2 linked regions of the Canis lupus familiaris genome follow. The protein of the gene in region 2 interacts with the protein of the main gene of each other region in a pairwise test. Links are inferred from orthologs where the notes say so. Each region holds a gene or a part of one and is shown on either strand. Other genes may lie near its edges. The genes, in order: TSPYL4 and CDK5RAP3.

What was found.
Region 1: the proteins of CDK5RAP3 (region 2) and TSPYL4 interact in binary tests that used the Homo sapiens proteins (3 or more experiments, as listed by UniProt). The two-hybrid records come from large-scale screens. The link is inferred for Canis lupus familiaris from reciprocal best matches to the Homo sapiens genes CDK5RAP3 and TSPYL4.

What each region holds. Positions count from the first base shown.
Region 1 is NC_049233.1:72,375,602-72,390,430, forward strand, and holds TSPYL4 (testis-specific Y-encoded-like protein 4), read right to left. Parts: upstream 7,197-14,829; coding exon 6,000-7,196; 3' UTR 5,974-5,999; downstream 1-5,973.
Region 2 is NC_049230.1:24,227,572-24,242,792, reverse strand, and holds CDK5RAP3 (CDK5 regulatory subunit-associated protein 3), read right to left. Parts: upstream 15,182-15,221; 5' UTR 15,075-15,181; coding exon 15,069-15,074; intron 14,841-15,068; coding exon 14,795-14,840; intron 11,836-14,794; coding exon 11,704-11,835; intron 11,432-11,703; coding exon 11,331-11,431; intron 10,991-11,330; coding exon 10,942-10,990; intron 10,288-10,941; coding exon 10,109-10,287; intron 9,913-10,108; coding exon 9,776-9,912; intron 9,548-9,775; coding exon 9,403-9,547; intron 9,029-9,402; coding exon 8,918-9,028; intron 8,388-8,917; coding exon 8,312-8,387; intron 7,526-8,311; coding exon 7,437-7,525; intron 6,804-7,436; coding exon 6,598-6,803; intron 6,221-6,597; coding exon 6,049-6,220; intron 5,943-6,048; coding exon 5,877-5,942; 3' UTR 5,585-5,876; downstream 1-5,584. UniProt on the Homo sapiens protein: Substrate adapter of E3 ligase complexes mediating ufmylation, the covalent attachment of the ubiquitin-like modifier UFM1 to substrate proteins, and which is involved in various processes, such as ribosome recycling and reticulophagy (also called ER-phagy).

The sequences.
Region 1 (14,829 bases), on a different chromosome or scaffold from region 2:
AGCCTGCTTCTCCCTCTGCCTGTGTCTCTGCCTCTCTCTGGCTCTCATGAAAAAATAAATAAAATCTTTAAAAAATAAAATAGAATCTTACAGATAAGGACACTGAAATTGACGGAGGTTAAATAACATACTTGCTAAAAATTGTACTGTTACTAAGGAACAGAGTCTGTACATGAGCCCAAGTTTCACCCCAAAACTCATGCCCTTAGTTGACTGACACCTAAGTCTTCCAACATTGGAAGTAGATTGGGGCAAATTCTCAGTCTGAACCCACGTTTCAATTTAACAGTCACACCATGTGAGGGATTAGAAATAAACAGGCTCTGTCCTAAAGTAACACAATTCGGTAAAAAATATTAAAGCAAAGTTCTATACCATAGAACTTACCTGTTAGAGTAAAACAATCAAGAACCATGGGAGTAAAACGTATAATGAGCTCTACTCTTCTTTTTTTTTTTTTTTTTTTTTTTTTGAGCTCTACTCTTCTTGGAAGCCGCACATACTAAAGCCCTCGGTAAGCAGGTCTACTCTTCCTTCATATTCAGGTTCCAATGTTCACCTTGAATATTGAGCAAATCTCCCTCTTTGGTGCTGAGGAAACCAAAATGGAAAATGAATAATGAAAACTGCTCCAAACTTAATGGGAGGTGGGATATCTGAGTCTATTGAGAGAAGTTAGGTCATTACTTAGAATGACAACTACAGCATCACATAGATTGCCTAACAGGTTCTCATACCATGCACCTGTTCTCAGAGTCTTAAAAAAAAAAGACTTTATTTTACTTTATTAGTGCTTCGGCCTTGGCACTGTATTGGTAAAGACTAAAGCTTAACAAAGAGATTGGGGCACCTGGCTGGCGCAGTCGGTAGAGCACGAGACTCTTGATCGTGGTTGTGAGTTTAGCCTCACACTGAGCGGGGGAGATTGTACTTAAAAAAAAAATTTTAATCTTTAAGTAAATGATTAAAATAAAGAAATAAATTACTAAGTGCCTATTAAAAGCAATCACTATGTTGAATCAATTTAAAAATACTCAAATTCTCTAATACAAATGTCAACATTGGGATCCCTGGGTGGCGCAGAGGTTTGGCGCCTGCCTTTGGCCCAGGGCGTGATCCTGGAGACCCGGGATCGAATCCCACATCGGGCTCCCGGTGCATGGAGCCTGCTTCTCCCTCTGCCTGTGTCTCTGCGCCTCTCTCTCTGTGACTATCATAAATAAATAAAAATCAAAAAAAAAAAACAAATGTCAACATGTCTTTACAGTTCCTAGCAACTAAATATCGCAAGTTAAGATTTAAAGTCCTTTTGGTGCATTTACTCCCTTTGATGAAGACGACAAACTTCTATTTTCATTCATGTTTGCAGCAATCAAGATCGCATATGTAAATCTCAGTAGCTTTTAATCTGTAGACTGTATGGAACCCTGAACTAAGTGATAAAAGTGCCCCTTTCAAAGACCAATCATGAATGAATGAAAAACAGCCTTCAGCTGAGTCCTGATTATTCACATAGTTTTTGTTTTATGCCAAATTTAGTACAAATGTTTATGATGGTAGTGGAAGATAATCTAGGCTTGAAATTAAAAAATACATGTCTCTGTGACTTGTATCTTAGGCACATCTACTTCAACTTTCGGAGCCTGTTTTCTTTAAAAGAAAAAAAAAAAGATTTTATTTATTCATGAGACAGAGGCAGAGACACAGGCAGAGGGAGAAGCAGCCTCTATGGACGGAGCCTGACGTGGGACTAGATCCCGGGAAGGCAGGCGCTAAACAGCTGAGCCACCCGGGCTGCCCTCTGAGCCTGTTTCCTTAAGTATCTAAACGGAGATAGTAAAACTTGTGTGAGAATAGTGAAAGTAACACGAGAACATAAACGGACGTGCCTGACCCCTCAGATTTCTTAGGACTGTCAAACCAGAGACGGTATCTCTGATGCGAACAGATATCCAAGGCTCAAATTGTGACTCTATAGAGCAAGGAATTTTTTTTTTAAGATTTTATTTATTTATTCATGCGAGATACAGAGAGAGAGCCAGAGGGAGAAGCAGGCTCCATGCAGGGAGCCCGATATGGGACTTGATCTCAGGACTCCAGGCCTACGCTGTGGGCCGAAGGCAGGCGCTAAACCGCTGAGCCACCCAGGGATCCCGTAGAACAAGGAATTTAATAAGAATACAGATAATTTTGGTTTTTATGATACACACATTACAGAAACTTGAGTCAACTGGAGAAAAAGAAGCAGGAGCTGCAAGAGGAGTAACGGGGAGAAGGGACCTTGAGCAAGGAAGGTTAGACAAGACTTTTGTCATCGTCTGGTCTAATACCCAGAAATGGAAGAATGCCCAAGGAGATTCTGTTATGTGGGGACTAGGGAAATTATGAAGTATGACCCTACGAACAGGGCAATAGGCCTGTGCAGACCAAATGATACTTGTTTGGTGATCAGAGGATGCGAGAACCTCATAACCGATTTGGAGGTCTTCGTAAGGAATAATTTGGGTCTAGAATTGAGAAGAAAAAAGGCAATGAAAAGAAATGGGGCAGGGACATAGGAGTATACCAACTGGTAAGTGAAACCTACAGAATGTCTAATTTAGTATAATTTTATTCAACAGAACAGAAACCATCGTAATCTAACAAAAGAGTAGCACCAACCTACTAGGAAAATGAATACTATTGGTTAAAGCTGATAATAAACCAACGACAATAAAAATGACATTTTTCTGACCATGTCCAGAAAAGGATAAGAGAGACAATGCAGGAAAAAAAAATCACTGAATCGAAAAGGTAAAATGAACACTACAAGTATAATTTACAATCAAGATAGGTATAGAGGTTGCAATGAAAACATAGTTCTCTAAAATTTAAAATTTTCCAGGTCTAGGGCAGCCCTGGCCTGTCAGCAGTTTAGCTCCGCCTTTGGCCCAGGGCCTGATCCTGGAGACCCCGGATCGATTCCCATGTCGGGCTTCCTGCGTGGAGCCTGCTTCCCCCTCTGTCCCTCTCTCTCTCTGTGTCTCTAATAAATAAATAAAATCTTAAAAAAAAAAAGTTATCCAGGCCTAGAAAAATTATACTTAAGCAAGTAAAACTTGCAAGAATGGACTGCACCAAGAGTCAGCAGGTCTGTTTAGTAATAATTTGGGGCCATTTATGTAAAATTTTTGTTTAGATGGCTACAAATACCATTCATTTTCACAGATCTTGCAATAGCCAGGGCCCTCCCAACTCCTAACCCTTCATGTGACAGCTGCTGGACTAACAGCAGCAGTCCTGCCTAACAGGACTTAGTCATTGAGATTGGGATGTGTGGGATCAGGTTTCTAGATACTATGTCAGTCACAATTTGTTATTCTTTCTTTTTAAAGCACTGCACCTTGTAGGAAAAGAAATTAAGAAGCACTTGTAGAATATACAATGATTAACTCCTTCCAAAAATCTATCTTCTGAGGAAAGAGTAAGATCACGGTTAACACAAATGTAGTAAACAAGGATGGTGCATTAAGAATAGTTTTCCACTAAGTCAGTCAAAGCCAAATACCATTCTGACTTCATTCATATGTGGAATTTAAGAAACAAAGGTGGGGGGGGGGGAAGAGACCAATCAAGAAACAGTCAATTATAGAGAACAAACTGATGACTCAGACCGGAGGTGGTGGGGGATGCTGGGGGATACCTTAAATGGGTGATGGGGATTTAGGAGCGCACTTGCTAAAATGAGCACCAGGTGGCGTATGAAATTGTTGAATCACTGTATTGTAGACCTGAAACTAATGTAACAGTGTAGGTTAATTACCTGGAATTAAAACATAAAAAGCCAAAAATGTTTTCCGCTGTAAATATTTTAAGTGACCAAAAACAAGAAATGGTGCTTTAATTACCTTCAAAAACTATACTGGTTGAATAGAAAAATTATGTTCATGAGCATGTAGTTAGGCCTCTTATTTACCATTTTCTAAGCAAAAAAGCACCTTAGAAATTTGGTGGCTGTTTTTTTTTTTTTTTTTTTGGAAACTTCAGGACAAATGTTTACTGTGATAATTTGATAACTTTAATGATTTCCCAATCTTTTATTAGACTAGACAACACAGAACTTTATTTTTATTTTTTGTTGAAAACAAGAAATACAGCAGACTGACAGACTTTATTTTTCCTTTGAGCACACAGAATACTAAAGTACTTAACGATCCTTGTTTAGTTTGACAGAGCAGTTCTACAAGTACTTACACTGGTCAGGGACATTAATGTCAAGTACCACGTTACTATTAGGGCAAGGAATATCACGACAATAGGAGTTATGGGGGTTTTTTAGAGATTACTTGCACAAGACACAGCAACAACTTGCAAGATTTCAAAGATCACATTCAAATTATATTTCTAAGAATAGAACTACGGGTGAAGACAGACCAGGACAAGCTGATATATTAATGAGTGTTCACGGGTTTCATACTGCGCAGGAAACAAGTTCGGTATTTTTGCACACGTTCTCAATTACGAGCAAAAAGCAGGCCTGTAAGTGTCGATTTTGCCAGCAAGCAAAAGTAGAGAAAGGAATGAGCAGGATTTTACTCAAACACAGAGAAACAAGGAGCATATACCACTAATTTTCCACAGAGAAAATCACTCCTATAGTAATAGAGAGAAAACATCCAGACTTGCATCTTCGTGTACAAAAATCTACTGGTGAATTCAAGGGAATTCGGGAAAAGTCCTCCAAGCATCCTGTTTAAACATCAAGCACTCTGAGACCCCCTGGGCTCCCGGAAAAGCTCCCCCCCCCCCCCCCCGGGGCTCCAGCTTCCCGGGGCCCTTCCAAGACCACTTCGCAGCAGTCGGGCCTCGGCGACAGCAAACACCCCCTCCCCCCTCCCCCTCCCCCCCGCGGTGCCCAGGCCTCCCTAGCGCTCCGGGAGCTTCGGGCAAAGCCTTCCGGGGGGAGGGGGGAGGGGAGAGGGGGGAGAGGAGGGGAGGGGGCGGCGGGCAGTCGGGGCCGCACGCGCAGCCGCCGGAACACTCAGCTGCACACACCCCGACCCCGGCGGGGAAGCCTGGCGTCTCGGCAACGCGGCCGGGTTTCTAGGGACGGAAGCGGGGGCGTGAGGAAGCAGGGGAGGGTGCCCCGCAGCGCTGCCCCGGGTTGTTTCTTGGGGCTCCCCGTCCCCCCAGTTTCCAGGTCTAAAGAAGGAGAGTGAAACTCCGCTCCGGCCGCCTCGGTGGCCACCGGCTCCGGCTCTCCTTAAATCCGTCCCGCGCCGCCGCCGCCCTTCCCTGCTTCCCGGGGACTCCAGGGCGGGCAGGGCGGGGGGTCGCCGCGGCCCCGACGCCCCGAGTCGCCCACAGGTCTCCGTCGGAGGCTCTCGGAGCTGGGGGGCGGGGCCGGGAGCAGGTGAAGCACAAAGCCCGCCCGGGCCCCCGAGGCTCTCCACTTCGGAGCTCGAGCTGTTCTAGAAAGAGGGAGAGGGGGAGGGGCGGGAGGGAGGGGCAGGAGGGGGGTGCAGGTACGGGGCGGCCCCCCGGAGCGCAGCCGGGTCCTCCGAGCCCCCGGGGGGGGCTGCCCAGGTCCCGGGGCCGCGGCGGCTCCGGAGGGCCACGCTCCAGGCGCGAGCACAGAGCGCTGCCCACCTGCCCGCAGCCCCGGGGCGGGGGGGGGTTCCCGGGCCCCCGCAGAGGAGCCACGCGGCTGCACCGGGCGCTCGCCGGCCGGCCTCATTCCCGCCTCAGCCGCCTCAGCCGCGCGGCGGCCGGTGAGCAGCTGCACTGAGGGCCGGGGCCGGGGCCGGGGCCGCGCCGAGGCGGCGCGTGCACGCGGGACGTGGACCAGGACGCGGGCATCCAAGGGTCAACCTTACAAGCGACTGAGGGGTGAGGAGAAGCGGGGCCGCCGCGGGGCCGCGCCGAGACGGGCGGACAGAGGGCGTGCTGCGGGCCAGGCGCAGGGCCGGGGCGCGGGGGCGCGGGGGCGCGGGGGCGGGGCGCGGGCGGCCGGGGCGCCGCTAGCCGGACTGGAACCGGAAGGACCTGGGGCTCTCGGCCGGCTGCCTCGCGGGGTCCCGGATGCCCCGGCGCGGCCCCTCGCCCATCAGGTAGTACTGCAGGGGGTTGGGCCACAGCTCGGCCTTGATGATCTCCGCGATCCTGTCGAATTCTAGGAGGCTGTGGTCCGAGAACCAGTTGAAGAAACTGGGGATGGTGCTTCCTTCCCGGTTCCTGTGGATGTGAGCCTGGGGGTCCTGGCCCCGGTGCCAGCGGATCGGCGTGGCCAGGGACACGACCCGGCCCGAGGACCTGCGCTCGTACTCTTTGACGAGCCCCTCGTTGCGGAAGTAGGGGTTGCCCTGGAAGATGAACTTGAACTTGCAGCCGGCCCTGGGGTGCTTGAGCTCCTCCACCTCCAGATTGATCATGTACCTCATCATGTCCTCATCCTGGCCACTGATCATGGGCGCCAGCTGCGGGTGGTTGCGGAAGGCCGTGACCCAGAAGCCCGGGATGTTCTGGATGATGAAGCTCCTGCGCTGCATGTGGAGCCTGCGCATGCGGCCGAACTTGCGCTCCAGCTGCAGGAAGGCCCGGTCGGCCTGGGCGTTGACGTTCGACAGCTCCTGGTCGATGGCCTCCAGCGAGTCCATGCAGCTGCCGACCTTCGGGGCCTTGGCCCGCGCCTCCTCCTGGGTCCCCGCCGCCCCCTTCTCCTTGGGCATCGCCTGCCCGTCCTCCGCCGCCCCCGCGGCTGCTCCCTCCCCCTCCGCGGCGCACTTGGCCGGCAGCTCCTTGGCCTTCGCCCCCGGCGCCCCCTGCGCCCCCTGCGCCCCCGACGCCCCCGCGCCGCAGGCTTCTAGGGCTTTCTCCGCAGCAGGGCCCCGCGGCTCTCTCCGCGGACAGCCGTGCTCCTGGGCACCGGCGGCGGCCGAGCCTTCCGCGGGCAGCAGGCGCTCTCGGGGGCCCGCTCTGCCCGCCCCGCGGCCGCGACTCCCGAACACTCGAACGCGGAGCGCCGGGGCGCCTCCAGCCGGGCTCCGGGCCGGGGCGCCCCCCGCGGCCGTCTGCACGCCGCCCTCACCCGCGTCCGCCATCCCCTCGGCCCGGCCCGGGGTCGCGTCCGGGGGGCCCGGGGCGGGGTCGGCCTCCGCCGCCGCCGCGCCGCAGTCTCGGGCGGCAGGGAGGTGCCTGCCCTCGGCCGGCGCGCTCATCTCGGGGCAGGGACCCGCAGCAGGACGGCGTCCCGGTCCCCGCCGCTCGCGCACTCCCGGAGGATGCTGCTATGGCAACCGCTGACGTCACGGCGGCCGGAGGCGCGCGTCCTCACGTCGCGCGAGAGTTCGCGGGGCCTGGGGATTCCGGGTTTCCGGGGTCTGCGCGCGCGGGCGTGGGTTCGCGGGCCGCTGCGGCGGCGCTTCCGGGGCGCTGGGTGAGTGTCCCCGCCGCCGCGGCCCCGCGCTCCCCTCCCTCAGGCGAGGACGCCGAGGGGCCCCCGAGGCTGGAGGTGAGCAGAGCGGCGGCCCCGCGGCGGAGGGCGGGACCCGGGAGCCTGCCTCTCCCTCGCCCGGGTCTCTCTCTCTCTCTCTCTCTCTCTCTCCTGAGTAATTAATTAGAATCTTAAAAAAAAAAAAAGTGGTGACTTACGCACCTCGGCGCGGTGGAGACGGAAGCCTCGGCCTTCCCGACCGGACACCACGAAGGCTGCGCCCGTCGGCCGACCCCGGGGGCGACCGGACGCCAGGCCCGCTGCGCTCTGAAGTAATACACGCGGTCAAGGTACGTTCCTCACTGGCGTCGACCCACTCGCGCGAGCGCGCAGACCCGGCCTTGAAGCATCACGGAAAAAGACGTGATCTCAGGAGAGTGTAATTTCCAAAATGGCACGTGCCGTGGATGTGGCCCAGCCCTGAGCCGGGAGGAGCTCCTGCTTCGGAGTCCGCGCGAGCTCGAAGCCCAGGAGTAGTTGCCACAATAGCCCCTGTGGTAGTCCCCGGCGGGCGGGAGCAACAGCAGCTGTTTGTTCGCAGGCACTGCAACTCGTAATCGTCCAACTAAAAATATTTTAAGTGGCGTCTAAAACGTCAGTGTTAAAATAGCTACCCGAAATGTGCCTTTTCCAGTCAGTTCATACGATTCATCTAGCAGTGGTGTTAATTCCGTACCACGTGCTGTTTGCTGCAGTGTGGAAATACTGGTGTTGATCCTTAGACAAACGCAAGAATGAAGGAAAACTTGAATTTTGCATATTTTTGTTCCGCATCTTAAATTCATATTAGAAAAATGTTTGTGACTCTTTGTGATAGAAACTACTACGCTACAGAGCACCCCAGATCATGATCGCTTCTTTTTTTTTTTTTTTTTTTTTTTTGTGATAGTCACAGAGAGAGAGAGAATGAGGCAGAGGGAGAAGCAGGCTCCATGCACCGGGAGCCCGACGTGGGATTCGATCCCGGGTCTCCAGGATCGCGCCCTGAGCCAAAGGCAGGCGCCAAACCGCTGCGTCACCCAGGGATCCCCATGATCGCTTTTAAATTAGGACTCGGGAGAGGATCCAGTGAAAAGTCAGGGTGTAGGGGAAACAGAGTTACGGAAAAGTAGCAGGTGTATTGAGGGAGGTAGTGCAGACCCTGTGCAACTAAGAATGAGGTGCTGGGAGAGATAGTGGCAGGTGGCACAGAGGAGCAGCCTGTCCCGCAGCTTCATGGGGTAGCTCACAAAGGTTTACCAGACAGTTCAGAAACATTCAAGATATTTTTGTGCCCCTAGTCTGCCTACTCAAGGACAGACTGTCCAGAGTGACTGCTACCAGCTAATCAGATAACCCATAAAAACTGTACAAACAGGGATGCCTGGGTGGCCCCCTGGTTGAGCACCTGCCTTTGGCTCGGGGCGTGGTCCTGGAGTTCTGGGATCGAGTCCCACATCAGGCTCCCTGCATGGAGCCTGCTTCTCCCTCTGCCTGTGTCTCTGCCTCTCTCTGTCTCTCTCATGAATAAATAAGATTTTTTTAAAAAATTAAAAAAAAAATGTACAAACAAGATGCACTCTTCTCAGACTACAATTATTTTTCTCTCCTTTTTTCCCCCGTTTTAATAAATCCTGTTTTGCCTCTGTGGGGTGAAATCCATTTACTAATTTATCCTCTTTGTAAATAAGTAAACATTGTGCTATAATTTAGTGTATTTGTGACTTTGGGTTATACTTTGACACTGCTCTGCCTTGTTTCCTTTCTTAAAGAATCCATACAAGAAAGGTAGCATTTGCTATTTGCAACAGAAAATTAGAAAGTTACTTAAAACTACTGCTACCTCTGAACCTTTTTTCTTTTGTTGCATATACAAAGGACTTTTATCTCCACTGCTTGAAGCATCCCCATCCCTAGCTTTGATTGTTCCTGTCAAGGGGATCATTTTCCACCAATAATAACCTGCCCATCCTTGAAACTCCATTCAAGCTTACCTCATGTAGATTGCATTAGCATTTTAATGCATTTAATAATCCTAAACAAGGACCCAGGATCACAGGGTTGACTCCCTCATGATGGAGACATATATTAATTGCCAGACTGCCTCCTCCCATCTCCTATGCATGACCTTCCCTTATCACCTTACCGTTCTAACAGTCCTCAATTTCTATAGCTCCTATGACCTTTACCGTGCAAATTAGAATTTACCTTCTATCTTTAACTTTCTTGGTTGTTTTATGCAGATTAGTCTCCTCATGCCAAGTAGGCAAGGATGGCTGCATCCTTGGCATCTACTATAGTAGGCCAGTGACTATCTCATTGGAGATTGTAATGAATTTGATTACTTGAGTTAAATGAAAAATGTAAAAGATTTAACCAAAATGAATAGTATGACTATGCTAGTATTTCATTTTGAGTTGAGTGGATTATGTATTATAGGTATGAATCATTTTGTTTGCATATTAGAATATAGGATTTGGAGTACATGACAAAGCCTGTTCTGTTGGCAGTTGACATCGGCCTCACTACAGAGCAAAAGGTATGTCAGTAACATGACCATATGGAAAAATACTCGCAAGAAATGCCATGAAAATCCAGGAGGGGGGCAGCCCAGGTGGCTCAGCAGTTTAGTGCTGCTTTCAGCCCAGGGCCAGATCCTGGAGACCCGGGATCGAGTCCCACGTCGGGCTTCCTGTGTGGAGCCTGCTTCTCCCTCTGCCTATGTCTCTGCCTCTCTGTGTGTCTCTCATGAATAAATAAATAAAATCTTTAAAAAAAGAAAATCCAGGAGGTAATTTTCATTTGCCACAGGACAAGGAGTTTAACAAAAGTTCAAACATAAATTAGTATAGTCAAATAGGAACGATTTTACTAAAGTGTATAGTAAGTACTGGAAAATTTAGGAAATACCCACTGTTGTTACTCTTGAACAACAAGGTTGCTTTTGGTGGGAGCCAGGCTACTCATGCTGTTTGACAAAGTCCAGGCATGGGAGTTAATCCTGAAAATCAGGAGAAGCCACAGCTGGCTCCCATGGATTCCTTTCACTTTGTTTTTGGCCATCTTTAGCATCATTATAATACTATTGGGGAATTTCCATAAAATAAATATGGAGTCTAAAAATAATTAAAATTTCCAACATGCTTCTTGGAATAAAACCCAATGCCCCCCACCCCCCACTCTGTAATTCCTCTAATATGAGAAATGCTGAGTTTTTTTATCAGTTAAGGGTAAAATAAATCTGGGAACCTAGCCCAGTTAAAGCTGTCATGGAAGAAGTCCTTCAGGTACCTCTTAAGCGTCAAGTTAAAGAGACAACAGTTAACCAGTGGAACACATGATAAAATAAGTTGTGGGTACTGTAAACTGCTAGAAGAAAGTTAAACATTTCTGTATATAACCTTTAAAATAATAACCCCTTTCATGTAACCATATTACCATAGACTTGTTTTTCCACTAGAATAGGCCACGCTCTGTCTAGCACTTTTGTCTTTTACATCACACTCACTGCTTTCTCAAGAAATCAATAAAGGTCATGTTCATTATAGCAGTCGAAACTGAAAGGAAAAATATTTCGTATGAAAAAGATGTTTCTTAATCTTTAGAATGATCTAAGATGTTTGCGATAAAATGTAAAATGTAATTATTTACTAAAAAAGAAACTGGAAAAGCAAGGCAATGTAAAATGGTATAAATAAAGCCCCTCCGAAATGATCAGGACGTGTCTGCACCCTGACTCTGTGCGTCCCCTCATTTGCCGACGCCGGCCTTTCCTTCGAGAGACCCACCCCAGCTGGAGCTGGAGCCCGGCATGTTTTTTCAGAATGATAGGGTTTCTGGTTATATATTCATTAGGGCCTACATTTACTTAGTGTTTTCTAAATGTGTTATCTCATTTAATCCTCAGAATAACCCTGTGAGGTAATAATATTATGACTTCATCCTACGTTACCTTAGAAGGAACTGCAGCAAAGAGGAACCGAGTTGCTTATCCACAGTCACACAAAAGTGATAGAGCCGTAATCTGACTCAGGAACCTGTACACTCATTTATTATATTTTTCTGCAATTCCACCCAACATGTAAAATGTAAAGGTGCTTTCTTAGAAGTAAGACTGTATGACCATCCCAATTTAATGTTATGTCTTACTGTCCTGTTCCCCTCTGCCCATCCAGAAAGATACTAACAGTCGTTGGGGAAGTGCCTGAACACTAAAAGAAGCAGGAATTCATGATCCTGGATTCAAGGCTTAAAGTCAACAGTTCTCAATCCATCAGAGAGAACATTCCCTTTGTTCATTTGTTTTTTCTTTATTGGTATTGTGTAGACCCAGTCTTACTGGAGGAGGGCAAAAGACATGGGCTGGAGTTCATTTCTGCCTTCATGAGCAGTGGGAATTTGGGCAAGTGGTTTAACTTTTTTTATCTCCATTTCCACATTTTATAAAATAGGAATCCTAAGGGGCACCCGGCTGGCTCAGTCAATGGAGCATGTGACTTTTGATCTCTGGGTTGTGAGTTTGAGCCCCATGTTGAGCACAGAGCCTTACTTTTTAAAAATAGTAAGCTCACCCAACCTGTCTTTACCTACCCTCTTCTCAGAGTAACGGGTCAATATTGTAATGTAGGTGACCCTTACTCCGTAAGTTGCTTTCCTCCTTCCTCACCCCCGTTTCCATCTTTCCTTTTTTTCTTCTTTAAAATGTATTTCATGTACCATTACAGCCAAAAGATACTGAATTTTCAAACAATTTCCCCTAAATTACCCTTAACATATGGAAGGAGTTCTGTCCCTATGACTAAATGAGTCACCACTCCAGGGCTCCAAAGCCCAGAATTAAGTTGAGCAGCAACAGAAGCATTCCATGGAAACTTTTCTCTTCCTCAGACAGGACAAAGGCATCTTTAGCAGACAGAGCCTGTGTGTCCAGGGCCACGCAAAATTGGCATTTCCAGTAGAAAGCCGTCCTGCTTTTTGAGAAAACAATGGCTGAAGAACAACTTCCTTCACATTCAAAGAGGATGCTGGGCTAATTGAATTTCTTACAGGTATGAGTCAAGGATGGATCTGGCTTTGGCACCAATGTAGTGTGAAGTTTCATGTGGTAGCCATGAAAATGCACCTTCCAGCCTTCCTAATACAAGGAGAGTAATTGTTCAAGGGTCTGAATGCTGCACCCTGAAATCTCTAGTCTCCTTTGCATTCCGGCCATACCTCCTATGAGCCCTCCAGCCAATGGCTGAGTATGGCTAGGGTACGAAGGCAAGACCATTCCTAGAGGATGTGGGACTCAGCCAACAGCTGACTCTGGTTGCCTCAAGGACTCCCTGGTGGCCTTGCTGAATCTTCCTTGGATGGCACAGGAGTCTAGGACGCTTCCACCCAACTTTCTCTTGCTCCCCTTTTCACTCAATCAGATTTGCTTTCTGGACAGATGGCTCTCCCGTCTTTTTTTTCTGGCTCCCTCCCCATCTCACTCACACAGTCATTTTCCCCTAATAAGACCTTTGTATATTTAATCCCAGCTTGACTTCTGCTTTTCGGAGGATCCAGAATAACATGTTTGTTTAACAGATCATTTAAACCCCTTAGTTTCAATTTTTTTTTTTTATCTCGCAAATTGGGAGTCAGGAGACAGAATAGCTGGAAGTGGGGAAAGACTTAGTGCAATAAAAAGAAGTCCTGCCTGCATTAAATGACATGATGAGGGGGGCCCCTGGGTGACTCAGCGGTTTAGCACCTGCCTTCAGCCCAGGGCATGACCTTGGGGTCCCAGGATCGAGTCCCACGTCAGGCTCCCTGCAAAGAGGCTGTTTCTTCCTCTGCCTGTGTCTCTGCCTCTCTCTGTGTATCTCATGAATAAATAAATAAAATCTTTAAAAATAAAAATGACATGATATAGTAGTTAGATGGCTGTACCTTAGAATCACTAGTTCCTTACATATTTTGGAGATTAACCTTTTCAGATATATGATTTGCAAATGTTTTCTCCCATTCTGTAGGTTCCTTTTTACTCTGTTGATTGTTGGTAACACAAAAATTGTAAATGTTAGAAAGTTTTGTGTCAGAATTTCATTAGCATTTGTTTTCATTCTTAGTGCTAGATAATGGTGTATCTTACAATGTTTTACAGTAGATGAAATAAGTTGCTTTCAAAAAATAGTGTTTAAAACACTGCAGGAAGAAAGGAGGGCCTGGCTTGCTCATTTGGTAGAGCATATGACTCTTTTTTGTTTCAAGTTTTGTTTTGTTTTGTTTTTTTAAGATTTTATTTATTCATCAGAGAGAGAGAGAAAGAGAGACACAGGCAGAGGGAGAAGCAGGCTCCATGCAGAGAGCCCGACATGGGTCGATCCTAGGACTCCAGGATCAGCCCTGGACTGAAGGTGGCGCTAAACTGCTGAGCCCCCCAGGCTGCCCTGTTGCAAGTTTTTATTTAAATTCCAGTTAGTTAACACAGAGTGTAATATTGGTTTTAGGAATAGAATTTAGTGATTTATCACTTACATATAGCAGCCAGGAGCATGTGACTCTTGAGTCATCCCCAAGTCGGGGGTGGAGCTTACTTAAAAAACAATAAATAACAGTGCAAAATATTTTTATATGTAAAATGGTATTAGGTTCTAGGCTTAAATACTAGATTTTGTCATCTATATATTTAGCACTGGATGATTACTCTGTATGGGACACTGTCCATCACATTGCAGGATATCTAGCTTCCCTAATGTCCCTAATGAATACCAGTAATACCTGTATTCATTGTAAAAAAAACAAAATAACTGGCAGACTTCCCAAACACCATTGGGAGAAGCCCACATACACCTTGAGAGTCAGGTTTGTAAATGTTTGTGACTACTATACGGAGTCGTCTCTACCACAGACCTAGATCACCACGTACTGAACCATCTCAACACAGCCCTTTATTATGCTAAGGGAAGTTAGAGCTTAGCCTGGTGAAGAGGATGACAATGAAGTTTCAAGTGCTGTTCTAAGTTATCACCCAGTTGACTCAAGCCTCCATAACACATTCTCTACATTTCACAGTGATACCCTGAGTTCTGTGCTGTTCAGCAGCCGAATTCCAGAAGGATATAAAACATTTGAACTACTTTGGCTAATTCTGTTTTTTTTTTTTTTTTTTTTTTTTAAGATTATAGTTACTTATCTGACAGAGAGAGCATGTGCGTACATGCAGGCTGGGAGGCAGAAGGAGAGGGACCAAGCAGACTCCCCGCTGAGCAGGGGCTCCATCCCAGGCAGTAAGAAACCTCTGCCTGGGTCTCTGCCTCTCTGTGTCTCTTGTGAATAAATAAAATCTTAAAAAAAGAGATGAAGCAGGAGCAGCAATAGGGTTTAGGGCAGATGATCCCCAAACATTA
Region 2 (15,221 bases):
TGTCCGACTATTCCCAAGTTTCTATTCCCATGAAAATGCTCTGCCCCCACCTCCTGCTTCTTTACCTCTTCCCCCGTTCTCTAGGGCTAATCAGCCTCAAGGTCAGTTTTGGAGTTGAACATCTGGAGGTTCCTTTTACATGCTTTTCTGGGACTAGGTTTGTGGCTAAAGCCTCTTTGGTCCTAACAGTATATCCTGACAGGTGAGGCCTAAGGGATTCTCTCGCCCCCCCCCCCTTTTTTTTTGGTGGTGGCGGGGAAAGGACAGCAAATCTCAGTGTCACCACCTGTTCTTTCTGGAGTGGCTGAAAAAAAACTCCAGAGGGACCACAAAGTCCTCCTTCCTCACATATCATCTGCTCCCCCTCATCAGGGCTTCGTCCTTCCGGCCCCACCGACAAATGCCCACTGTGCCGAATGTTAAGGGGCAGCATTCCTGCTCCACTGTCCCAGTCCCGAGGGCTGCAGCTACAGAGCAGAGCCTCCCTCCAGCCTTGCCAGTCCCCGGCTCTGCGTTCGAGTCCTCTGCCAGGAGAGAGTTAAGGGCTTGGGTTTAATTTGCCCGTTAATCACAGTTAAAAGAAGTAATGAGCGTCTCCCCAAAGCCTGGGTGTTTCTCTGCAGATTAAGCAGCAATTTGCATAGCCCCTTTATTCATTCCCACCTTCCCCTGTGGGGCGGCTTGTCCTTTCAGACACAGCCAAGCGCAGCCCGCGGTGGGAGCGCTGTGACAAATGGCTTTGCTGCACGTGGTTTGGGCGAGAGGGAGGGAGGGGCAGGCTGGGAGGAGAGGGCAGCTCCCGACAGTAATGGATAGCTGGGCCGTTAAATAGTGCAGAACTTTTTATTAGACACACAGGAGAAGTTTAAATATTCAAACCGGTTTTCTTTGAAGCCTGGGGAATGAGGGGAGGGTGGCAGGCAGGATAAGTAAGAGTTTACTCAGGGCCAATTTACCCAGGGAGGCCGGGCTCATCAGCGCAGAGGAAGGGCACCTGGAGGACAGGCGTGGGTCTGCGGTCAGCTGGCACCCGGCCTCCGTGGCCCCAGAGCAGCCCTGACCCCCCCGATGGGCTGCGGGATCCTCCAGGCGGGACGGCAACCTGGGGCCTGATCCCACAGCACGCAGAGCAGTCTGCTCGGAGCCCAGCATCGGAGCGGCACTCCATCGTGGGGACTGACCTCAGCTTCAGAGCAGAAGCAACGGTGTCTCCCAAAGGATGGGACAACAGCCCTACTCCTCTGCTCTCCAGGAGAGTCCTCCACTAAACAGGGAGAGAGGACGGAGGGAGCCCGGGACACGTACAGGGCAGGTGCTCCCACTGGAAAGCATGTAGAAAGGATTTCAGGTTGACCACCGGTCCATCGTAAAAGCCTAGTTAAACCCAATTTCCTTCCCAACTTCCCGTGTTTGCGGGATTCTTCAATTTTGCTAACTCATGGGCCCCACGACAGTAATATTTTAGAGGTCAAAGTCACTTTAGAGATCATTAAGACAACTGAAGTTTGGAGAAGTTAATTTTGAGATTCCAAAGGGCACACAAAAGTGAGTGAGAGCCGGTTCCTATCCTCAGGCAGCTCAGGGTGGAGCACAGGTGCCAGGATTGCACTGTGACGCCGTGACAGACAGGTGAAGGGCATCTCCACATGGCTTCGGGATGCTGCTGAGGAAGAGGGGCTCATCCTGTCGGGGCCTGGAAATGTCCACAGAGATGTATTTGGGCCTTGTCTGAGGTGGGGCAGGAAGGCTAGGAGGGGGCCAGGAAGTTGGTTGGGGCTTGAGGACACGTGGGTTTGGTGTCGTGGGTGGATGCTGAGGCTGGAAAGGAGATAGAGATCCAATTACCAAGGCTGGCCTGCTACTCTAGGAGCTTAGGGAGCTAAGGGGGCGTCAGAGTGTCTAAGCAGGGGAATGATGAGGGTGAGAAAGCTGGGGCCGGGAGCCTGCTGCTTGACCTATAGGAAATATCAGATAGGGATGAAGAGTGGAATGGAGAAAGCAATGGGTTTGGTTCAGGATATTTAGGGATACCTGGGACACACAGAGCCGATACCCAAACACAAGTTTCTGACTTTAAGTCCAGGTTCTTTCGGGTCCATCCCCTCTCACAACAGCGGACTATGGAGTCTTACTGGGCCAGTGGCCATCTAGGCACTGTACACTCTTGCCATGGCTCCCTACTCTGAGGCCAGTAGTATCATTTTATACGGGAAGGAAAGAAGGCCCGGAGAGGTCCAGGGACTTGCCCAAGATCACATGGTGGCAAGAAGAGAGCCAGGATTTGACCCAGGCGGTCCAGATCTAGAGAATGTGCTAATCATCATGATGCTTTGCCTGTTTCCTTCCTAACCTACTACAATTATCAGGTTTCGTATGTGCATGTACAGGAATGTGGAGAGAATGGGTGGCAATTAAATGAAATAAAAATTAGTGACAAGACAAGCAGATGCAGATGAGGAGTCAGGGAAGAGCCACAGGACCTGTGTTTCTAGGGGGGAGACTGAAGCAACATCTGGGAATTAAGGAGAGAGACAGAAAGGGGAGCAGGGAGGTACATGTGAGGGAACAAGCAGGACTGCAGCCCCCCCTCCCTGCCATGGTGGGGGTGCTTTGCTTTGGTCCTTGGCTCTAGGCCATTCTCTCAGTGAGATTTCCCTTCTGCACGACAGAGAGAATCCCTGCCCACACTGGCCATGGGGAGCTAGTTCTAGATGGGTAGGACCCGATCTCCTCGGCAAGCCCTTAGTGGGCAGCCAGAAGCCAGATGAACAGCTGTCAGCACTCCGCTTAGCTCCTGGTCGTGGCCGCCATCACAAGCTGCGGTGCAAAGGAATCCTACTTCTGTGGACTCTGACTAGAGCAGCACTTGGAGAAGACGTGGGAAGAAAGGCTTCACGTGAGCAGAGAGACGGTAATGGGGCTTGGGCAGCTGGATTTAGCAGGGAGAGAGGATCTAGGAAAACTGACTCTGCCCCATTGTCTGAAGGAAGGTGACAAGTGAGCTGAGTGGTGAGAGACTGAAATCTTCCCTGGAAAAAGGTGGCATAAAAGTGAACATGAGGGCAGGTGGCTCAGCGGTTTAGCACCACCTTCGGCCCAGGGTGTGATCCTAGGGACCCGGGATTGGGTCCCATGTCAGGCTCCCTGCCTGGAGTCTGCTTCTCCCTCTGCCTGTGTCTCTGCCTCTGTGTGTGTGTGTGTGTGTGTGTCTGTGTCTTTCATGAATAAATAAATAAAATCTTAAAAAAAAAAAAGTGAACGTGAAAGTAGGATGTGCACTTGGCAATACGATTCACACCAAACTAAGGATAAATCTTGGCCCGCCTCCTCCTCCTCTCCCAGAACATTTTCTCGAAGCCCCAGAAATCTGACTGCTCAGAACTTGGTCTTCAAGCTCCACAAAGAACCTCCCACCATTCCCTTCCTGGAAGGCAAGTTAGACCGGGATGAAGAGTCCCTAACCACTGTTTCACAAACCAAAACTAAGAGCTCACATTTGTCCAGGAGTGCTTTCTCTGTGCCAGACAGCATTCTGAGAACTCTGTGTGTGTTAACTCGTTTAATCCTCACAATGAATTGTCAGGCAATTCAGAGAAAAGCAAGTGGGGACCCAACTGCAATCAGAGCAATGCTAAGGGGAATCTGGGAGCAGATCTGCAAGACACAGTGCTGTTCTCCCATGGGGTAAAGGAGCCGGGTGGGATCTCCAATGTCTCAGTGTGGCCGGGAAAGTGGGTTCCAGGAAGTGAAGCCCAGGCCAAAAGGCTAGGAGCTAAAGGTTCTGGACAAGACTAATGTTATAGGCTTAGAGACTTTTAAGAGACAATTGACATTGGGGTGCCTGGGTGGCTCAGTCGGTTGGGCACGTACCTTCAGCTCATGTCATGATCTTGGGGTCCTGGGATCGAGCCCCGTGTCGGGGCTCCCTGTTTGCTTCTCCCCCGACCCCACCCTGCTCATGCATTCTCTTTTTCAGATGAATAAATATAATCTTTAAAAAACAAAACAAAACAAACCCAATTGACATCAGTGTAGAGTAGGCCTTCATTTTACCAGCTAAGCAGTGGACGAGGTCTGATCCCTGTGAGAGAGAACAGTCCCCTAACCACACCACTTAACAAGGTGCCCCAAATCTGCTGAGAGAACCTTATCTAAACCCACTTCCCCTCCTGTGAAGATGGCCACACCTCAGCCTGTATGACTCCCTGCCATCAACCCCAGGCAGAGCAGAGCAGGCAGGCAGGCAAGGTGCTCCTCCGACAGGGCAGGAGCAGGAAATTTTAAGGCCTGAAACTGGTCCACCGTGGTCACATGGTTCACAGGGCTTCTCCCTGCAGCTAGGTGCCTGGAAGCGACAGCATCCATCCATGTAGCAGCTGGTGATTGGACGAGGGACACTGACCAGGCGAGGGTAGCAATGCCTTGGTGAGCGGATGGCTGCCGCAAGAGGCAGGCCAGAAGGCCGGTGGAGCCAGCAGCCGAACAGGTGGGGCAGGAGGTAGCAGCCACCCTCTTAGAGGGAAAGGGCCTAAGAGACTCAGCTCCCTAGGCCGTACATGTCCACAACGACGGAGGGCAGGGTACAGCCCACCCGGTCCCTGTTACATCCTTCGATTCTAAGGACATTCTCAACATTCCGCACGGGTTGTTTTTCCTTTTCCAATTCCTAGAGTAATTTCAGCCCCCGATACCTCCAAAAGGAGGTGAACAGGCAAAGATTGGGGGGAAGCGATGGGCTGACATTAATTGATAGGAGCGGCTCTGAGCAGTTCATGCTGCCTTATCTCTCTCTCCTTTGGATAGCGTGTGTCCGCCGGAGTCCGCGGGGTCGGTGATTAATAGGGGCCATCACTCACTGTCCAGGACGGCTGAAAGGCAGCAGGGAGGGGGCGGCCCTCCCCAGAACTGAGATAACAAGCAGCAGGAATAATGAGTGGTGTCACTCCACTTTTCATTTTGATGGAAAGTCATTACGGGAGTCAACGCCAGCGACAAAGAGCCATGAATCAACTGCTCTGCTATGAAATTAAAATCGAATTGCCGGCCACCCCCAACCCCTACCCTTCCTGGGAAATGGGGATGGGTAGGTGGCTGGGGAGAGGGGTGCTATCCTGGGGTGGCCTCTACCCAATCACGGTGCTGGCAGTTATGGGGAGGAAGTGAACAGGCAGCTAGCTAGCAAAGGTGACAACTCCTGTCTCCACCTTGTTTATCAGACCCTTCCTCCCAAACCACATCTTCCCTCTGCCTGGAGGTAAACTGTGATTAAAAGGAAAATACAGCTTTGCTTGGCTCCAACAAGGCTGCCACTTGACTACTACCCTTGGGCTTCTGGCCTGAGCAGGGCAGTCTAGCCTGGCCACGGACAGAAAAAGGGGCCCAGCCAATGGAGATCCCCAAGAGCCCCCTGTGGAACCACTTGTAGATACTAATCTGGGGCCCTGCCTGTCACAAGCAAAGGGGGGGAAGCCCCTCCCCCCCTTGGGGCTCTGTAGGAACAGCCGGTGGCCTTGGGAGCCCACTGGATCAAAAGCCCAGGCAAACAGGTGCAAAGCTTTGATTCAAGGGCCAGAGAAGCACAAACTGTCAGTAGTGAAGCAAGAGCCTCTTCCTTTTTTATTAAGTCCAACTAGATGATGAGAAGCCCCAGAAACTGTGGTCTCAGACTGAGGGTCACAGGGCCAATCAAGATAGCTTCTTGCCAGAGAGTATAGCAAGTGTCAAAGGTCACCATCGAGGAGATGGCTCCTTCACGTGGCTTTCCATCCTCCAATCCCCTGGTCTCTGGCTAGGAAGAGCCCTGCCACTTCAGCCCAGGCTGTCTTCCCCTCCTGCCAGAAGGCTGGGAAGACGGGCAGGTGGACCTGTGGAGGCTGTCACAGAGAAGTTCCCATCAGGTTCACGGGGCGCCCACCGTACCTCTTGGAAATGTCAGCTTCGATCTGAAAGACAGTGATACCAAGTGGGTAGAAGCAGAGAGGCAAAGGTGCCTCGTTCTGTATAATCTGGGGGTCTTCCCCCTGGGCAGGTTTGCCTTTCCTGTCTTACCAGCTTCTGAAGCTCCTTGGTCTTCTCTAGCAGTAGATCTAGCTTGGGCTCCAGGGCTGCCTGCTCCTGAAGCGCTTCCTGCTGCTTCTGCACCATCAGCTCTTTCTTCAAAGCCAGCAGCTGGGACTGCTTCAGCTTTTGCTGGAGAAACCCCGTCACTCGATCCACATACCTGTGCGGGGCACTCGGGTTAAGCGTCTGAGGCAGCTGAGTAGCCTGAGTATCCCCATTCATCTGCTGGGAAAGGCAAAGGCAACCAAATCCCTGCCCAGCAACTTGGCCTCCACCCGCTTCATTCCCTCCCTGCAAGGTTTATGGCTCCCACTTCTCCTGTCCTACTTGGGAAGCAGAGCCTGCCTGCATATGTCAAACCACCCCATCCTGCCCCAAGAGAACCCTGGATCCCAGCTGTGACAGAGCTGCCATGGGAGGCAGAGAAGAGCTCTGAGGAGTCATGGAGAAGGGGAACGCAAAGAGTCAGGACTGCTCAAGATGGCGGCACCCCACATCACGCTCCGGAAGAGCCCAGTGTCAACAGGAAAGCCAGACCTTGGGGAGGCCAGGATCATAAACAGGTGTTGCATTCGAAGACTGGTGAGCCGGCCAATCAGGTCCTGTAGTGTCGACACCATGGTAACCATCTTCTCCTTAGTCTGGCCCTGCAGGATGGCTGGAGCTAGTTGGAACTGGCTCACAGACAAAATGTCTGCCTCCTCACTCATCTCCACGGCTCTCTGGGACAAGAAGATCTCGAGCTGAGGGCAGAAGAGGATCTGGTTGACACCAAGAAGAGAATTCAGAGGCTAAGCCCTCAGACTGCTCAGAATGCAAGAATGAGATGTGAGGGCTAGACTCCTGGTGAGGAGGGATTATTTCTTCTGAACACTTTAATTGCTAGAAACTTACCAACTATGACGTGAGAGCCTGAAGCAGCCTCCACCGCTAATCTCCCGCCCCTCCTGCTATCTCACTCCCCACCACCCCCAGCCCTGGACACCTCTCCTTCTTCCCAACATGTGGCTCAGATAACTATAAACACAGAGATTTGATGGGTTCTCTCTGTCCCAGTGAAGGTATTTTCTCTCTGTGAGAGGAATGAGATTCAGGGAACAGGAATCCATATTTGAGAAGCCTGGACTAAGAGAGGGCTGGGAAGAATCTGGGAACCAGCCACATATCTTATCACTCTTATTCTAACCAGAGAAACTCCATCCTTTTGTCCTCCTTTGCCCTGGAGTCTAAGAGGAGCCTCTCTTAGCAAAAAGAAAAGGGAACAGGTGAGGACTATGAACGCAGATGAGGCCCTCACCAGCCAGCAGGTCACTGGGAGGGGAACAGATGGAGATGAACACAAGCGGGAAGGGTCCATCCACAGAGGATGAAGGTACCTCCATGAGCTCATCGATGAACTGATTCCGGGTCTCGGGGTATTCGAGAAGTGTCAGGGCGTCTGGGCCCCTAGCAACACCTTCTGGAGCTGCCAGGAAGAGAGACAAATGATAAAGTCACTGGAGACCAGAGAAAAAGACCCTCAACTTTGAGAAGTTCTGGTGGGCTAATATGGACAAAAACTCATTGCAGAAGCTACTTGATGTCTCACCCCAGGGTGGGGGGAAGGGTTACTTTTTCCCATTGTCTTAACTCGAATCAGACACTACTTCCAACTGCCAGTCTGGGAGGAGGATCACAGAGCTGGCTTTAGGGCCTGGAAAGGGCCCCTCAGCATTGTCGGCCACGAAGTTTCATCCTGCACCGCCCTCTAGTGGCTCAGATGGCCACTACATCCTCTCAGCTATTGGGCAGGAGGGTCAAGGTCAGACCTCCAAGCCCACCGCCCTTCTGGAACCTCTCATCAGAAAGGTGACCCACATTCGCTTTCCAAAAGTTAAGAGCTTCTAGACTTGATTTTGAGAACTTGGGGTACCTTGTGGCTCAGTGGCTGGGTGTTGGCCTTTGGCTCAGACTGTGATCCCAATGTCCTGGGATCGAGTCCCGCATCAGGCTCCCCATGGGGGAGCCTGCTTCTCCTTCTGACTACTGTCTCTTTCTCTCTCTCTCTGTCTCTCATGAATAAATAAATAAAATCTTTAAAAGACTTTTTTTAGAACTTCCGTTACTCTACTCTTACATCATCATCATGATTTTGAGAAAACAGTTAGATGTGTGAGCAGCCCAATCTTGGCAGTGCATTTTTTTGTTTCCAGAGACACAGGGACCTTTGAGCATCCACTCCTGCCAAAGCTACAGGGAGGAGGGCACTTACCCTGGGTTCCGGCTTCCAGCACTGTGATCTGCAAAGCGGCGTCGTCTCCCCAGTCAATCCCATCACCTCCAGCTTCCTGGGTGGAAAGCAAAGAACCTCAGCAGGGTTGCAAGAATCTTCCCCAGCAAAGGGAGCCAGAATAAACCAAACCCTCGATAAGCTCAATATGCCTGCACATTTCAACTGTATGAAGGACTTGCAGCCACATATGTTGCTACCCTCATCCCTGCTTAGAGTTACCACCTGCCAAGACCCTCACATACCAGGAGAAAAGGGGTCAAATGCTCCCCCCTTGGACTATACCTCGCCTGAGGTCTATGGGCAACATCTTTTTGTTTTTTAAGATTTTTTTTTTAACTTGAGAGGCGGGGGAGGGGGGGGCGGGGGCAGAGGGAGAAGCAGGCTTCCTTCACGGAACCCACGTGGGACTTCTTGATCCCGGGTCTCCAGGATCACACCCTGGGCTGAAGGCGGCACTAAACCGCTAAGCCACCAGGGCTGCCCACTTCAGGTAACATCTTTAAAGACAGACAACACTTCTCTCGACACCAAAGCAGAGATCACACAGCAAGTCCTCAGAGAGATGGGCTAAGAGGGCTTCCTAACCTTTGAGTCTGATTCCAGGGAGATGCCCCAGTCAATTCCAGCAGCCTGAGCAGAGATGCCAGAATCGGTCCCTTCGGCAGCCACTTCTACTCCAAAGTCGCCCCAGTCAATCTAGCAGGGGAAAAAAGTGTTAGCTTAGAGAAAGTGGGTGAAAAGAAAGGGGTGTGCCTCCCCAGAGGTCTCAGCTGCCCCTCTAGGGGGCGCCAGCACACTGTTGAAGGGCAATGGCTTGGGGGCTCCCTGAAGGACAGCACATCTTCAGAGAGTTCACAGGACAGGATTCCTAGTTCAAGGTCAACCAGCTTGCTGAGCCTCTACAACACTCATCTCTGCTCTGGCCTCAAGAAGCCTGGAAAAATAAGGGAGGGCCTTCCAGCTAGGGTCTCTCGCACCCAAATCCTACTTTCTTCCTTCTGGGACTCTGCACTCACGTAGAGGTGGAGCTGTGGGGCATGAGGACATGGCTCTCGCCAGGTTTGTCTTACCACATCTTCTTCCACCTGCTCAGGCAGCTCCTCGAGGTGGGGCCGCTCCACCACAGAGGGCTCTGTCCCCATTCTCCATTCGTACACTGTGGAGTTCCCCCGCCTCTGCACGAACCGCAGCATTGGCAGCACCTGCTCTGTAGGACTGAAACAGAGCACCGCCTGACGCTCCTGCTGCGCACATGTGAAGCCCACGCGGGGCTCCGGCCTGCGCCCCCAGGCCAGATGGGGGAGCTCCCACAGGCTCACGTGTTTAAACCAAAACTCAAACGTGAGGTGGGAAAAGCACAAGTAGAGGAGACAGAACAGCCGAGGAAAATAGGTCAATTGTCCCCCCCCCCCCCCGCGCTGGAGAGAAACTAAGGTCCTTTACCTTTCACACACAAACCCCACACAGGCCTGGTACAGATCGATGGCTTCACCCAGGGCCTGAGCCCCTGCCCCAATCTCAGCCAGCTGACTCGGCAGGTCTTTCACCAGGGCCAGCAGTTCTCTTCGGACGTTGTCTCCCTAGAGAGGATGGGAGAAGAGGGCTAAGACAGGAGCAGTGGGAAGCACAGTGCAGCGAGCTCAAAAGAACACCCAAAGATTGCAGATGGGTGAGACACTGGCTCAGAAGGGCACAACTGGCCGAGAAGGGAGCCTCTCCCAAAAGCGAAGGGGCTGGGTTCAGGCCAACAGAGGCGCCAGGTGCCCTCCAGCTCACCGTGATGCCATACTGCTTGCACGAGTGGTAGAACTGCTCCCGCATCTCGGCAGCCCCCGCCTGGCCCTCCTCCTCCTTGCGACTATATTCTTGCTGCAGCTGCTGGCACTTGGCGATCTGCTTCTTCAGTGAGGGGATCTCATAGTTGACATTCCGAACCAGGAGGCTGGAGAGTTCCACTGAAAGGGGCCCAGGAAATTTACCCCAGATGCCCACACCCCGAGGCAAACATGCCCCTGGGACATGTGCAAATACACCCCGTGGCAGCAGAGAGCGTGGCTTGGCCTCCCAGCTCCCCCCTCCCAGCCGTGGAACCTCACACAGTCATTCAAACTCGCTAATCCAATCCTGTTCTGTAACATAGGGACAATCATATTTACCATGAGGATTAAGAGAGAGAATCCACATAAAACATGAGTATAACTCCTTGCATTTAGTAGGTGCTTGGTAAGTATGAGCTATTATTATTAAGACTTTGAGGAAATATACCCCAAAGTACCATAAGCCCTGTAATTATGCTCTCAGGCACCCAATGTGGCCCCTCTTCTTCCCAGTGGAGACTAGGGGTGCAGAGGAGGTGGGTCAGTCACCAAGAGGTCAGTAATGAGGACCTACACATACCTGCCAGGCCCGGCCTGGCCAATACCTACTACCTGCCTGGTCTTCCTCCTCCTCCCAATACTCTTTGGGGAACTTCTTTGCCCACCTGGTAAACATCTATACCCCAGCTTCTTCCCCCAAAAGGACTGTGCCTCCTAGAAGCCTAGAGTCTCAGAACTCTTGGGAGTGGGCCGCCCCATGGACACCAGGCTTCCCAGGCTAGGCCACTTTACCTAGGTAGGTGTTGTCCTTCTCATACAGGGCTACAATCTCCTGCCAGTCCTGGGTGAGGATAGAAATAGGAAGTGAGCTGGAATGGCGCTCAGCAGCCACATACCAGCTCAAGCCCCAGGGGGGACACTCCCCTAGCCCTCATATCACATCAGACACAGACCTCTTCATAACACTGGCTGGACACCCCCACACACTTCCTTTTAAGAATGTGGCATCAACAAGCGCTCCCCAAAGCAGTAGGACTGAAAATGTAAACCCAGGCATAGGATCTACTTTGGAATAAACTTTGGGGGCAAAGAGAAAGCTCAGGAAACAGTCTACATAGGCATCTCCACTGGACCCTTAGCGAGACCAGAGACTCTGACCCTGCAGCTTTGCCCACACTTGCCTTCATTCGCTGTGAAGAGTACCGGCCAAAAATATTTTTTGTGGAGGCTTCAGTGCCTTTGAGAAGGTCCACAATCCTTAGGCAGTGGAAGTAGTGAATGTCTAAAAAGCAAGGAAAAACAAAGACTTTGGGAATTATAGTATCTTCCCCACCTACTCTGGGCACATGGCTAACTGATGAATATGCTGAGAACTTTAGCATGTATAGCTCTCCCCCTCAGCATTCTGTGTTGGAAGAAACTGGCATCTGTACCCCAAAAATAAATCTCTCTCTAGGGGTCAGCCCTACAGTTAAACAACAAGGGGGCAGGCTCAGCTGATATCCAGTGCTCCAGGAAAGAGGGGCTCTGGTAATGTAGCCCAGAAGCACTCACAGGATCCAGAGAGCAGCTGGGCGATCTCCTCGCTCTCTGGCATGTCCTGGATGGCAGCATTGATCTTCTCTCGGATGGTCAACACCAGACTCTGCCATTTCAGACTGCAGTGCCTTCTGTCCACCAGCCAGTCTGTGTGAGAAGCACCCACATCACAGCATTCCCACTGACACAGCCAGAAGCCCACCACTAATTCAGGTGAAATATGCTAAGACACTGGCTAAAAGTTATATGTATATTGGTTAAGGTGCAAGCATCATGGGAATAAAGAGAGGCTCTGGAACGCCTGGGTGGCTCAGTGGTTGAGAGTCTGCCTTCAGCTCAGGATGTGATCCCGAGGTCCTGGGATTGAGTCCAGCATCAGGCTCCCGGCAGGGAGCCTACTTCTCCCTCTACCTGTGTCTCTGCCTCTTTCTTGGTCTCACGAATGAATAAATAAAATTTAAAAAAAAAGAGAGAGGCTCAAAGGCACCCTTGGGGTTAAACAGACCCCACCACAGCGTGACCCCAGGATCATGACCCGAGCCGAAGACAGATATGAGCCACCCAGGCGCCCCATTGTATGACTTTTATAGAGCAACTGCCTCCACACAGGGATAAAGAAAAACTTTAAATTGGTCCTGACATCAAAGTGCCACTTTTGACCACTCTAAATTCTCCATAATATTTTTGCTTCCATGGGTAATTATATCTTTCTTACTGACAGAGGATGCTTTCAACTTCCACTTCCTCAGGGCTGGGATTAACCATGACAATGGAAAATACAAGATGATTATGCCAAGTACCGGATGAATGAACAACTGTAAAGCCCCTAATACCTGCAGCGCCCTAAGGACTAGGTAACACTGGTACTCTCAACAGTGAAGAACTGCCTGGCACCACAAGAACACCAACGTGACTGACCTCCTGGACTCTGGGCCCAGATCTGTTTTTAGGAGAGGGTGTGGGTGGATGAGAGCCATGCATGTTTCCTCAGTAGGAGACAGCTAAGAGCTAGGTTTTGTGGTCAGATGGTCCTGGTTTCTAATTATTACCCCCACCCCCTTTTTTTAAGACTGATTTATTTGAGAGAGAGAAAGAGAGAGCATGTGAGCATGGGGAGGGGGGGTAGAAGGAGAGAGAACCTTAGGCAGACTCCCCACTGAGCACAGAGCCCAACATGGGGCTTAATCCCACAACCCAGAGACCATGACCTGAGCCGAAATCAAGACCCTTAACTGACTGAGCCACCGAGGCGCCCCTAATTATCAACTTTAAGTCTCTCAACCATTCTGTGCGTCAAGTTTCCCCACATATAAAATGGAGATAAGATATTGAACACAAGAGAGAATGGAGTACTGTGCCTGGCATATGACAAGGACTCAATAAATCCAAGTAAAATATGCTCATTTTTGCAATGTCAAGTGCCTAAAACAGCACCTGGTAGAGCAAAGACTCAACGAATGGTTGTTGTTTTCCTGGTCCTTTTCACAGCCAATGACAAGTTCATGCACCAAGAGTGCACAAATGCTGAAGAACTGGGACAAATCTGAATTTTTCTCCGTTATGGGGACACCTGGGTGGCTCAGTGGTTGAGCTTCTGCCTTTGGCTCAGGGCCTGATCCTGGGGTCCTGGGATTGCCTGCATCGGGCTTCCCACAAGGAGACTGCCTCTCTCTCTCTTGAATACATAAATAAATAAAAATATATTTAAAAAAAGAAGCTCCAGGGCAGCCTGGGTGGCTCAGCGGTTTAGTGCCTGCCTTTGGCTCAGGGCATGATCCTGGAATCCTGGGATTGAGTCCGAAGTCGGGCTTGCTGCATGGAGCTTACTTCTCCCTCTGTCTGTGTCTCTGCCTCTCTCTCTCTCTCTCTGTGTCTCTCATGAATAAATAAATCTTTTTAAAAATTTAAAAAAAAAGCTCTATTACGTGGCCACTGCATAGAACTCACTAAATAGTCCACAGTAGTGAACTGAGAACCCTGCCCTTGTTAACATACCTGCCAACTGATCAAACACTGTGCTCTCACACTAGTTTTCAGCTATATCCCCTCGCTGTATTCCTCTGAAACCTTCAAAAAGAAAAACTCTGTAGATACAATAAAACTAGAAGGGGATGAGGTAGTCAGATGTCATTTTTTTTTAAGGATCTTATTTATTCATGAGAGACAGAGAGGCAGGGAGACACAGGCAGAGGGAGAAGTAGGCTCCATGCAGGGATCCCGATGTGGGACTCGATCCCCGGACTCCAGGATCAGGCCCTGGGCTGAAGGCGGCGCTAAACCGCGGAGCCACCCAGCCTGTCCTAGTCAGATGTCATCTTAATGACAAAACTGACATCAAATCCATTAATGCAATTAGCATTTTACAATCCAGGAGTAGTGCACTTGCCTAGAAGGGTCATATATGAGGAGGTCCTTCCCTGGCTCTGAACTGAGGAGGTATTTAGATCAGATATAGACAGCAGGAAGGTGGCCTGCCCACTAAAAGGTCTTTGTTCCCAATTGGGTCTATGTCCCTCTTCCTCCTAAAATCAGGGGAAGATGGAAGCTTTTCTCTTTAAAAAAAAAGGGGGGGGCGGTGTGCCTGGGTGGCTCAGTGGTTGAGCATCTGTCTTCAGCTCAGGACATGATCCTGGGGTCCTGGGATCGAGTCCCACATCCGGCTCCCTACCGGGAGCCTGCTTCTCCCTCTGCCTGTGTCTCCACGGCTCTCTGTGTCTCTCATGAATAAATAATTTATTTTAAAAGGAGGGAAGTTTTTTCTATACAAAAAGCATAGACATTGGAGTCCGACAGACTCGAACTCTAACTTCCTATCTGCCACTTAGTAGCTGACCGTCTTTACAGTAAGCCACTAATCTGGGCCTGATGATTGACCGCACGTGTCATGATGCTATACGGTGGAAGCCGAAGGTTCAAGTACAGACTATGTACGGTTCCTTCCCGCTCCTCCGAGCGCGGCAGGCAGACGCGGCTGGGAGCAGATCACCGCGAGTGGTCAGCGCCTCAGCAGGGGCCTTGGGGCATCGGGGCTCCCAGCTGTTGGCGACAGGCAGCAAAGGGCAGGGCCTCCCCCTGGCAGCCGGTTGCGCGGGGCGTCCCCTCCTACCGAGCAGCTTGCTGGTCTGGATGTCGATGGGCACGTGCTGATGGTCCTGGAGGGAAACACGCCGGGGAACGGGGCGTGAGCGCGCCGAGGGGGCGTGCCCCCTGCGCGCTCGGTTCAGGGGCCCAACCGCCGCCCTGCGGGGCCAGAATGACGGGCCCGGGGTGGGGGGCGCGCCCGGGAGAGAGGCCGGCGACGCGGGCCAGGAACTGACGGGCCGAATTCAGCCCGGGTCCCCGGAGCAGCCCCCCACAGCCCCCAGCTCCAGGCCCCACACCTGCATCTTCCTCCACTTCCGCTTCCGGCTGGCGACCCACGCCAGCCCCACCTACAACCAATCGCGCGCGGGGCTAGCGGAGCCTCTGTCTAGGCCCGAACGCGCCTCCTCCGGCCACGTAGCCACCTTCCTCCGAGCCAATCGGGACGCGCG